3 linked regions of the Macaca fascicularis genome follow. The protein of the gene in region 1 purifies or fractionates together with the protein of each later gene. This does not show direct contact. Links are inferred from orthologs where the notes say so. Each region holds a gene or a part of one and is shown in the gene's direction. Other genes may lie near its edges.

What was found.
Region 2: the proteins of AURKB (region 1) and G3BP2 purify together in Homo sapiens (affinity purification with mass spectrometry; 3 studies listed by BioGRID and IntAct, with this or other methods). This does not show direct contact. The link is inferred for Macaca fascicularis from reciprocal best matches to the Homo sapiens genes AURKB and G3BP2.
Region 3: the proteins of AURKB (region 1) and PPP6C purify together in Homo sapiens (affinity purification with mass spectrometry, with the first as the bait; 3 studies listed by BioGRID). This does not show direct contact. The link is inferred for Macaca fascicularis from reciprocal best matches to the Homo sapiens genes AURKB and PPP6C.

Annotation. Positions count from the first base shown.
Region 1 is NC_088390.1:8,284,846-8,288,334, reverse strand, and holds the end of AURKB (aurora kinase B), read left to right. Parts: intron 1-78; coding exon 79-133; intron 134-333; coding exon 334-528; intron 529-816; coding exon 817-955; coding exon of another isoform or gene 956-965; intron 966-1,065; coding exon 1,066-1,214; intron 1,215-2,326; coding exon 2,327-2,501; intron 2,502-2,672; coding exon 2,673-2,846; 3' UTR 2,847-2,982; downstream 2,983-3,489. UniProt on the Homo sapiens protein: Serine/threonine-protein kinase component of the chromosomal passenger complex (CPC), a complex that acts as a key regulator of mitosis.
Region 2 is NC_088379.1:58,151,829-58,155,579, forward strand, and holds the start of G3BP2 (ras GTPase-activating protein-binding protein 2), read left to right. Parts: upstream 1-1,263; 5' UTR 1,264-1,392; intron 1,393-3,751. Other genes in the region: USO1 (general vesicular transport factor p115), read right to left, coding at 783-848.
Region 3 is NC_088389.1:18,908,296-18,911,946, forward strand, and holds part of PPP6C (serine/threonine-protein phosphatase 6 catalytic subunit), read left to right. Parts: intron 1-1,000; exon of another isoform or gene 1,001-2,541; intron 2,542-3,431; coding exon 3,432-3,651.

The DNA of each region.
Region 1 (3,489 bases):
CTGATGAGCGTCTATGGGAGGGTTTAGGGATGAGAAGGTCATCCCTGCTCTCATTCAACTTACCTGTTGTCTCCTTAGCTGCCCCTGGCCAGAAGGTGGTGGAGAACAGCAGTGGGACACCCAACATCTTAATGTAAGTGCCCCAAGCCTTGGGGTGGAGGGAGGTGAGGGGACAGTGAATGGGCAGGAAGTCGGGAAGATAAAACCTAAGGGCAGGAGGAGTAGAGATGAAGAGAAGTGGGGCGGGGGACAGGATGAGATGAGGAAGCGGAGAGAAAGCAAACCTCTTAATAACCAAAACCGGTTCTGAGTTGCCTTCCCCCACTTTCTAAGCAGGCGGCACTTCACAATTGATGACTTTGAGATTGGGCGTCCTCTGGGCAAAGGCAAGTTTGGAAACGTGTACTTGGCTCGGGAGAAGAAAAGCCATTTCATCGTGGCGCTCAAGGTCCTCTTCAAGTCCCAGATAGAGAAGGAGGGCGTGGAGCATCAGCTGCGCAGAGAGATCGAAATCCAGGCCCACCTGCAGTATGGGTTGATGCCCCCTGAGCCGAAGCCCCTCTGCTCCCTCACCCCAGCTCCTCACTCAGCCCTACCTCATCCAGATTGCGTTCTCTGTAGCTACGGCTAGTGAGCCCCATTTAGCCCTTAGTCCTGGCCAGAGCCTTGAATCCAGAAATCTGCCTCCAGTTTCCCCTTCCCACTCCCATTCCTGGTGTCCCCAGCCTGGGCCCCGTCTGACCCCAGTTTGCTCCTATTATCTTTCCCAGCTCTTTTATGCCTTTGGCCTGAGGCTTCCTCTGTCTCTTCCCTCAGCCATCCCAACATCCTGCGTCTTTACAACTATTTTTACGACCGGAGGAGGATCTACTTGATTCTAGAGTATGCGCCCCGCGGGGAGCTCTACAAGGAGCTGCAGAAGAGCCGCACATTTGACGAGCAGCGAACAGCCACGGTCCGGGCGGGTGGGCACCTGGGCCGCCAGTAGGGGGCTGGAGGCTGAGGGTGTGCTGCTTGTAGCTGGAGGTCCATCCTTGTCTGATTGCCTGTCGTTGCCCCTCCCAGATCATGGAGGAGTTGGCAGATGCTCTGATGTACTGCCACGGGAAGAAGGTGATTCACAGAGACATAAAGCCAGAGAATCTGCTCTTAGGGCTCAAGGGAGAGCTGAAGATTGCTGACTTTGGCTGGTCTGTGCATGCGCCCTCCCTGAGGTATGGTGGCCTGGGAGGCCAGCCCTGGGTGTGAGGCGGGGCCATTAAAACCTCTCCAGGGGCTGGGCGTGCTGGCTCACGCCTGTAATACCCGCACTTTGGGAGGCTGAGGCGGGCGGATCACCTGAGGTCAGGAGTTCGAAACTAGCTTTGCCAACATGCTGAAACCTTGTCTCTACTAAATATACAAAAATTAGCCGGGCATGGTGGCGGACACCAGTAATCCCAGCTACTCGGGAGGCTGAGGCGGGAGAATTGTTTGAACCTGGGAGGCGGAGGTTGCAGTGAGCCAAGATTGCGCCATTGCACTCCAGCCTGGACGGCAGAGTGAGACTCCTCTAAAAAAAAACAAACAAAATGGTTAGAATGTGGTGCTAAGAACCCCAAGGTCATGGGTTTGATCCCCGTATGAGCCAATGGTAAAACTTTAGCCAGGTGCGGTGGCTCACGCCTGCTAATCCCAGCACTTTGGGAGGCCAAGGCAGGTGGATCACTTGAGGCCAGGAGTTCAAGGCTAGCGGACTAGCCTGGCCAACATGGCGAAACCCCATCGTTACTAAAAATACAAAATGTATTAAGCAGACATGGAGGTGCACACTTGCAATCCCAGCTGTGCGGGAGGCTGAGACACGAGAATCACTTGAATCCGGGAGGCAAAGGTTGCAGTGAGCCAAGATCGCCCCCTTGCACTCCAGCCTGGACTCTGTCTCAAAAAAGCCCGGAGCAGTGGCCTTTTTTCCTCCCACATCATTTTTTAACGGTTTCATAGTATCACATAGTAGCTGATTTATTTAAGCAGAACATGCCTGATGGGCATTAGAGATGTCCCCAGTGAACTCCAAAATGAACTCCAAATGAACACTGCCCTCATAGCGGAGTATCTCATTAAGACATATCCTTCAGCGTGGAGTTGCTGGGGCTGTGTGCAGGCTTACCTCTGGGGCTTTCAGATATGTCATCACCCCAACCCCACCCCCACTCCAGTAACCCTGCCTGGCTGGACCTCTCCCCTGGTACCTCCCGTGGTCTTTTGGCTCCCTGCCATCAGGTAGCAGGGAAAGGAGAGTTCCTATGTCACTGGGACCCCTGCCCACGCCCCTTATCCCTCCCAGGAGGAAGACAATGTGTGGCACCCTGGACTACCTGCCCCCAGAGATGATTGAGGGGCGCACACACAACGAGAAGGTGGATCTGTGGTGCATTGGAGTGCTTTGCTATGAGTTGCTGGTGGGAAACCCACCATTTGAGAGCGCATCACACAACGAGACCTATCGGCGCATCGTCAAGGTGGGAGGGCGGCCTGGGCTTCGTGCCAGCTGCAGAGGCCAGGGGCTGGGGGGCTGGGGGTGGGCAGAGTGTATCCGCGTGGCCCTAAGTAACTCCAGACAGAATGGGTAGTCAAGGAAGATGTAGCCAGGGTGAAAGTAATGCAGCCCTTCCATCTCTTCACACCTGCAGGTGGACCTAAAGTTCCCCGCTTCTGTGCCCACGGGAGCCCAGGACCTCATCTCTAAACTGCTCAGGCATAACCCCTCGGAACGGCTGCCCCTGGCCCAGGTCTCAGCCCACCCCTGGGTCCGGGCCAACTCTCGGAGGGTGCTGCCTCCCTCTGCCCTTCAATCTGTTGCCTGATGGTCCCTGTCATTCACTGGGGTGTGTCTGTGTTTTGTATGTTTGTGTATGTATAGGGGAAAGAAGGGATCCTGAACTGTTCCCTTATCTGTCTTCTACCTCCTCCTTTGTTTAATAAAGGCTGAAGCTTTTTGTACTGATGAGTGTAGATGTTTCTAGGTGGAGGCTTTGCTGTGGAGGAAGCTGTTCCCTAGAAGGAGAGGTGGCTCACCCTGAGGAGCTGGGATGAGCATTGCTTTGCTATCCCTGGTAACACCCTACCCTCTCAGCTCTGACACCCACCTGGTCAGCTCCCAGCCACCCCCACCCCTACCCCCACTTTCACCTCTACCCTGTCTGTTCTTTCCATTGTTCTGACTCCCAGAGCCCGGGGGCACTGGGGGCCCTGGCTCCCCATTGCTACATTGGAACACCAGCCATCTCTGGCCACCTTCTTTCACCTCTCTCTTGGTTGTCCAACTTCTAGTTTTTCCTTTTCTGTTTCATTCTCTGCCCCTTTGCCAGCGTAGGAGCAGCTGAACAATTCTGTACCCTAGAAACTGTCTTTGATTCTTTTACTGCTCTGGTCAGGATCTAGTACAGGAGCCAATAGAAGCAGTAGTGATTCTGTCTTGTTCCTGACACAAGGTTTCACTGTCATGTA
Region 2 (3,751 bases), on another chromosome or scaffold:
TTAAATACTGTTTTCAGTGGCTAACTTTTTTTTTTTTTTTTAAATAACGCTGCAAATCGTGTCATTACGAGTTCAGGCAGAAAGCGGTGGATGTGTCCCCAAAGGGGTTTGAGCGCGAAAGATCCCTACTACGTCCAAGGTAGCATTTGCCAAACGATATATATTTGGGTGAGCCCGAAAAGCGAGATCTGAACAAATAACACCAGGCAGAACGACCGCTCTTCCAGTTGATGGGACAGGAGCAGGTGGACTTGTGCTTCAAAGAATATCGTTTTATTCTTAGCCACATGCTCTCACCAACAGCTGGGTTTTAAACCTTCTCGCAGTCTTCCCCAACGCCCCAGTTTCAGACTGCAAGGGAGGGAGCAGGACTTCAGGCTCCTCTCGGCCAGTGCAGACACAGGCGAAAGGGAAGGAGGGAGGGAGGGAGGGGCCCACGGCCCCGAGGGGCGTGGGAGGCAGTTCGGGCCAGCTCGGCCCCGGAACCGTCCCTTCCCGGACGGTACCACCTGCGGACCACTCTCCTAGCCCGAGCTTCGGGGCCTACAGAGCTGTGGGGCGCGGCTGCCGTCAGTCCGGCCGAGCCGCAGCAACGGGGAGGGAGCTGGGGGCGTCAGTGAATAACTCTGGGATTTCAGGAGCGGAAGGAGGGCAAAGGGGGAGGTGGCATGTGGATCCCCCTCCATGGTGGGACGCTGGAGGTGACCTTCGGGTCTCCGAGTGCTCCGTCCCCGTCCCTGCCCGGACCCCTTCCCAAGTCCCAGACCCGCTGCTCCTCTCACCGTCTCGGCTTCTGTGTGCTGGGGTCCGGCACTCTGACCCCCCATTACCCCGCGGAGGAAATTCATCTTGCCGTTCAGCCACCAGGTTTACCGGCCCCTCCGGAAAAAAAAACGAAGACAACTTCCCCCGCCCTCCGCAGGGCCTGGCCCCCAGTCCCGCACTCTACACTCTCCTACTGCTGCCACCACCGCCTCCAACTCGGCGGCCACTCCAGCCCCCTAAGCCCGGAAACAGCCGCCACCAGCGGCCAAGATGCGCATGCGCGGGGACGTGGCATTACGTGGCGGCCCGAAGGTTGAAGGCAAAAGGGGAGCGGAGGCGAAAGGAACCTCGTAGCTAGGTTCCACCGAAGCCCCACCCACTGCGCAGGCCCCGCCTCCCGCCGCAGGGGCACGCCTCCTCCCGCCCTTCGCGGATTGATCCTGCTGGCCGCAGCCACCCACGTGGTCGAAGCCCGGCCCTGCAGGCTGGAGAGGATTTGATTAGACTACGCGTTTCGACTTGCAGGGTGTTTAATTGTTGCCAAGCGGGACTTACTGCAAGCTATCAAATCTGAGGTCTTATTTTGTTGAGTCGAAAGTGAAATTTTTCCTTCGGCCGACGTGACAGGTAAGGGTTCCTGGCCCCTGGGAGGGTTCGCTTGGTTTGACGGTTTACTAGTACCAGCGTTGTGGCTTTCTGATCCCGGTAAATTGCATTTATTTACAGGGCTTTGTTTGGTGGTAAAAAGGGTTACTAGACACCCCTCATTCCACTGCCACTGGAGGGCGCATTTCTCAGCTCTTTCTCTTCAAACCTGCTGAAAGGAATTCCTAGATCTAAACACCAGGTACACCTCTATTTTCAAGTGTCATCAGGAGGAAACCCACCAAACCCTACATTTAGCTTGCTAGAGAAATACATTGTTCTGCTGTGGCAGTTTGGCGAGTAACATAATGTTTTGTTATTAACTCTCAACCCCTGTGTTTTCAATTTTTTTTTTTAACATGAAAAAATGTCTTTCTCTAATTGATATGCCTGTTCCTTTGGCAGTGAGGTTGTCAGTACACACGCTTCTAGAATAGTCTTGTACATTTCTTGAGGCTAAAAAGCACAGGTCTAGTTAGCTAACTGACTCATGGACCTCTCCCCTTGGATTCCCCACGGGTCTCAGATTCAGCATTTAAAATTGAGCTCATCATCTACCCCTGCCTCCCGTAAAGAAAAAAGTCAATATGCTGCTTCTACTGTGTGCGTGCGTGCTCAGTAGTACCACTGTCCAAATAATTGCCTAAGCTAGACAGGAAGCTGGGAAGAATCTTAGACTCTGGCTTTCCACCCACACGTGTCCAATCAATAGTCATGTCCTATCATTTCTGTTTATAGAATATTTCTTAAATAGGTCCTCTGCTCTCCATCCTCGATGCGTGTGACATAGATTACGTTCTTCTCATCATTTCTCATTGAGATTACAGCAACAGCCTCCTAACTAGTTTGTCTGCATTCAGCTCTGGCTTCCTTCCAGTCCAATCTCCAGTCCATCCTTGGGTGAGACTAACAACAGCAAAACATCTGTTCATGTCAGTCCTCTTAAAATCTTCCAGTTCCCCATTCTTTCCAGAATAAAGTCCAAACTCCTTAGTTTGTCATACAGGCCTGTTATGATCTGGTTCCTGCCTACTTTTTCAGCTCCTGCCTCCCCCACATACTCTGGGCATTTTTCTCAGACCTGGATATGCCCTTCCCCTCCCTTCTCTTCATCAAGCAAACTCCTGCTATTCCTTAAGACTCAACTCTGGCATCATTCTTGAAAGCTTTCCCTAAAATCTAGGTACATATCTATATGTTAGCACTTTGCAGTTATTAATACTGTATATGGTGTACATTCAATAAATGCTTGCTAAACCAAACTGTTAAGGGCAGGACTATTTTATTCATTTTATATCTCTGTTGCTTACCACTGTCTCATGAAAGGTGATATTGATGGATAAATGAATAAATCATTGAAAGAATATATGAATATTACACTAAGGAGGAGGTTCCCTTTTTTTAATCTGTAAAGTGAAACTGTAGGGAACACATCATAGGCAATGTGTTTCCTAGGGCCAGGGTTTTAAGCCTGGGCAACTTGGAGAATGGTGGGGTCATACTGCCAAAAATACTGTGCACTAAGCATTGTCCTCTGCTTTAAAACTACACACTTGACATTTTACCGTAGACATTTTCCACGGGAGCATTTTGTTGCAGCCTAAAAAAAGTAGTAAATTACTCAGCATTTTTATTACTAAGAAATGGATGCAAAGAGCTTCACTTAAGCCCCTAAGCTTCACCCCTCCCTGAACCTCACTTCACCTTCTCACTGAACCTCACTCTACCCCATCATCAGGAATGAGGCTCATAGATGGAGTGGGCCACAAATGTCTATTACTCCTCTTATTTAATAATTGAAAAGAGTGCCTTGACATTTTAGCAAAGTTGTTTAAAGGCACCAGCCTTGTCAAATGTCCTGTTTTGTTTTAAACTTTGGTGAGTACAGTAGGTTACTGTACTTTAGTGAGTAAAGTAGGTTACTATACTTTAGTGAATATAGTAGTGACAGCTTACTATGAGTTTTCCCTGCATTTGACCTGTTTTCTTCCCTAACAGCATCCCCTGCACAGGAGTGATGGACAGTTGGGTGCAAAGGTGATGAAGGTGGGATCCCCGAGGCATTGTCACTAGAGAACAACCATGAGATGGACTCCTTATATCAGAGGAATAGTTACATATTAATCCACTTCTACTGATTTTGTAGAGTGAGAAAAGTCAGGGACTGTGTTATATTCCTGTTTGCACCCTTTAATCATCTAGTATAATTCCTTTAATATGGTAGATGCTCAGGAACTACCTGAGTTAATAAAGGAAGAGAAAACATGAACAAATTGTGACAGCCTGACTTGCATTGTTATACGTCTGGCTTTCATAAATCTAAGCATTCAGGATGAGAGTC
Region 3 (3,651 bases), on another chromosome or scaffold:
GGTCTTGAACTCCTGACCTCAGGTGATCCACTCACCTCAGTCTCTCGAAGAGCTGGTATTACAGGTGTGAGCCACTGTGCCCGGCCGGCCCCCTTCCTTTCAAATACTGTAATTAAGTAACAAAATGTCAAGACCAAACTAGGCAGTACTTTTTTTTTTTTTTTTTTTTAAGACCTCAAATCACACAGATACAGACACTTTATTAGTTTCCTCTACAAGAGCCAATAACATCAATCTTTTTTTTTTTTTTGAGACAGAGTTTCACTCATATTGCCCAGGCTGGAGTGCAGTGGCGCAATCTCGGCTCACTGCAACCTCTGCCTCCTGGGTTCAAGCAATTCTCCTGTCTCAGCCTTCTGAGTAGCTGGGATTACAGGTGTGCACCAACACGCCTGGCTAATTTAGTATTTTTAGTAGAGATGGGGTTTCACCATGTTGGTCAGGCTGGTCTTGAAGTCCTGACCTCAGGTGATCTGCCCACCTTGGTTTCCCAAAGTGCTGGGATTACAGGCATGAGCCATCGCACCTGGCCTATGTCAATCTGTTTTTTTTTTTTTTTTTTTTTTTTGAGGCGGAGTCTTGCTCTGTCACCCAGGTTGGAGTGCAGTGACTGGTCTTGGCTCACTGCCAGCTCTGCCTCCCAGGTTCATGCCATTCTCCTGCCTCAACCTCTTGAGTAGCTGGGACTACAGGCGCCCGCCACCTGGCTAATCGCTTATATTTTTAGTAGAGATGGGGTTTCACTGTGTTAGCCAGGATGGTGTCGATCTCTTGATCTCGTGATCCGCCTGCCTCAGCCTCCCAAAGTGCTGGGATTACAGGCATAAGCCACCACGCCTGGCCTTTTTTTTTTTTTTTTTTTTTTAAAACAGAAATCTCTGTTCATTTGAAATGCCAAGTAGATCCAAAGAAGGAAGATGGCAATTAAATACTTAAATTAATCAAAAGGCACTATGAGACCACCTAAAACCTACTGCCACAGTGGTAGTAGGCTAAGGAAGATCAAGCTACAGCAAATCATGTAATGTGAATGTTAGCGATTACATAGCAGGAAGCACATTTGCTTTCCAGAGGACTATGGTGCCGTGTTCCTTTGGGCGCAAGCGGATATTTGGCCAGGAAAGGATCAAGATGGATGAAAGTAAAGCCAAATCAAAGGAATAGGTACAAAAGAGAATCCAAGCTACGTAGTCAAGCAGATGATGATGAATCAGGCTTCTTCCTCCCAAGAAACATTTGCTGCACTGTGCTGCTTCCCCCCTCCACTACCCCCACCCCCCACCCCATGGCTGCTCAAGTCCAACTGCCTGTTCCTGCCTTACAGGGTGCTCAGCCACTGGGACTAGGTTTGGGGTTGCCCAGGGCTCTTGCCATAATTTAGCATAGACCTTGGGGAGAACTGCTCACACATGGGTTGGCTTTGTTGCTAGTTGTTCTCAACAAAGAAAACCCTGAAGCATTCACATGCAAGGTAGTCTGAGCTTCTCCAATCACAGTCAGACACCCCCACTATCCTCAAAAGTCTGAAATCTTGTAACAGCTGAGCTCTTGTTAAAGCTGCAAGACTCACAAAATCATCAAGGAAGCCAGAATGAGACAGTGCAGGTAGGAAGTCCCAGCAGTTAATCTCAACCCGTCTTTCTCCATTTCGGATAAGCTCAGATATACCTGATGTGGGATATTGAAAGCTACACTGGAGTAAGCTGGGTCTTCTGAATTTGTCATCAAATACCAAGGGAAAACAAGGGGTGGGGTGGATTTTATTCTTAAAAAACCTCAGAAGTAACTGTGTTATAAAGGGACATGACTGAATAGGTAAGAAATGGATTCTTCATTGTGAGTTTTCCTGATGGCTTCTGCAAGGATCACAGAGATGTCGATCACCTGTATTTTGGAGCGGTGCTTCATCTTGTCGTCCTGGGGTATGGTATTGGTGACTACTACTGCTTTAAAGCATGCGTTGTTGATGTGAGAAATAGCTGGACCACAGAAGATACTTGGAGTCAAGATAGCATAAACTCTGGTGACTCCAGCTAAGAGAAGTTTGTCAGCTGCATGGCAGATTGTGCCACAAGTGTCAACCATGTCATCCACAAGGATGGCCACCAGATCCTTCACATCTCCCACAAGCACCATGCGATCCACTTAATTGGCCTTCTTTGTGAATCAAGGCAAAGTCCACATTCAGCCTGTCTTCTATGGAGTTCACTCTCTTAGCTCCACCAGCATCAGATGAGACAATAGTGCAGTTCTTCCACTCAGAGATATTCTCCCTTATCCACTTCAGGACACCTAGGTCTGCATATAAGTAGTTCACTGGGATGTCAAAAAAAACCCCTGAATTTGAGAAGCATGTAGGTCCATGGTGATAATATGATCTGCACCTGCTACAGATATCATATTTGCAACAAGCTTGGCTGAGATTGTCACCCGAGTCTTGTCTTTCTTATCCTGCTGGGCATAAGGGAAGCATGGGATGACTGCAGTAAGCTGGCTGGCTGAAACAATCTTGCAGGTATTAATCATGATTAAAGGTGCCATTAAATTATTGTTGATTTCACCACAGCCACTCCGAATGATGTAGACATTCTCTCCACGTACACTTTCGCCAATTTCCATACAGGTCTCCTAGTTGCTGAATTTCTTAGTCACTACCTTGCTGAGCTCCAGGCCCAGGCAGTCAGCAGTTTTCTGAGATAAGTCCTGGTGGGAGCTGCTGCTGAAGATTTTGATATTCAGGATCCTGGCCAACTATCCTAAGCACTCTTCACTAAGTGATCACTGCTGCTGCAGAGACTGGAATCAAAGTCGGTCCAGAGACTCAATGCTAACAGCTTTGTGATGCTACCCCACCATCTTCAAGATAGGCAGTACTTTGAACTTTAACTGTTTTCAACTAAATACACACACACACACATGACTTTATATTGGGAAGTGCTCCAGCATCATAATGAAGTCAGAAAACTAGATTCTGATCCTGTATCAGTGCATCTTAATTTAGATAAGTTATTTATCTAGTCTGAGCTTTTGTTTCCTTAAGTTGCAAAAGAATAATCTCTTTCAGAATTATTGCAACATCTATAGTAAACTGTAAACATACTATCAGTAAATTGTAGATACTGATAGTAATATCTTTATTATTAAATCAGAAAACACAAAATTTTGATTCATAGTACCTATTGAATGCTTTTTCTTCCAGAAATTTCTAACTATGTAGCTATACAGTTTCTATAGCTGTGTAGTTGACTCAGGCCAAAATTGCTCTGTTTGCCTAAACTTATTAAATTGTTGGGGATAATTATAGAGTGGGTTCTATAATCATGATGCATTTAGTAGTAATAGGATTTGGTATTTGAATGATTATTTTCTTACGGATGTAGGGTAATTGTTTTTTAAGTGCTAAATACTTACAGTGTCTTTCTAAATTGCAGTTTGTTCATATCAACAACTTAAAACTCATCTGCAGAGCACATCAACTAGTGCACGAAGGCTATAAATTTATGTTTGATGAGAAGCTGGTGACAGTATGGTCTGCTCCTAATTACTGCTATCGTTGTGGAAATATTGCTTCGATCATGGTCTTCAAAGATGTAAATACAAGAGAACCAAAGTTATTCCGGGCAGTTCCAGATTCAGAACGTGTTATTCCTC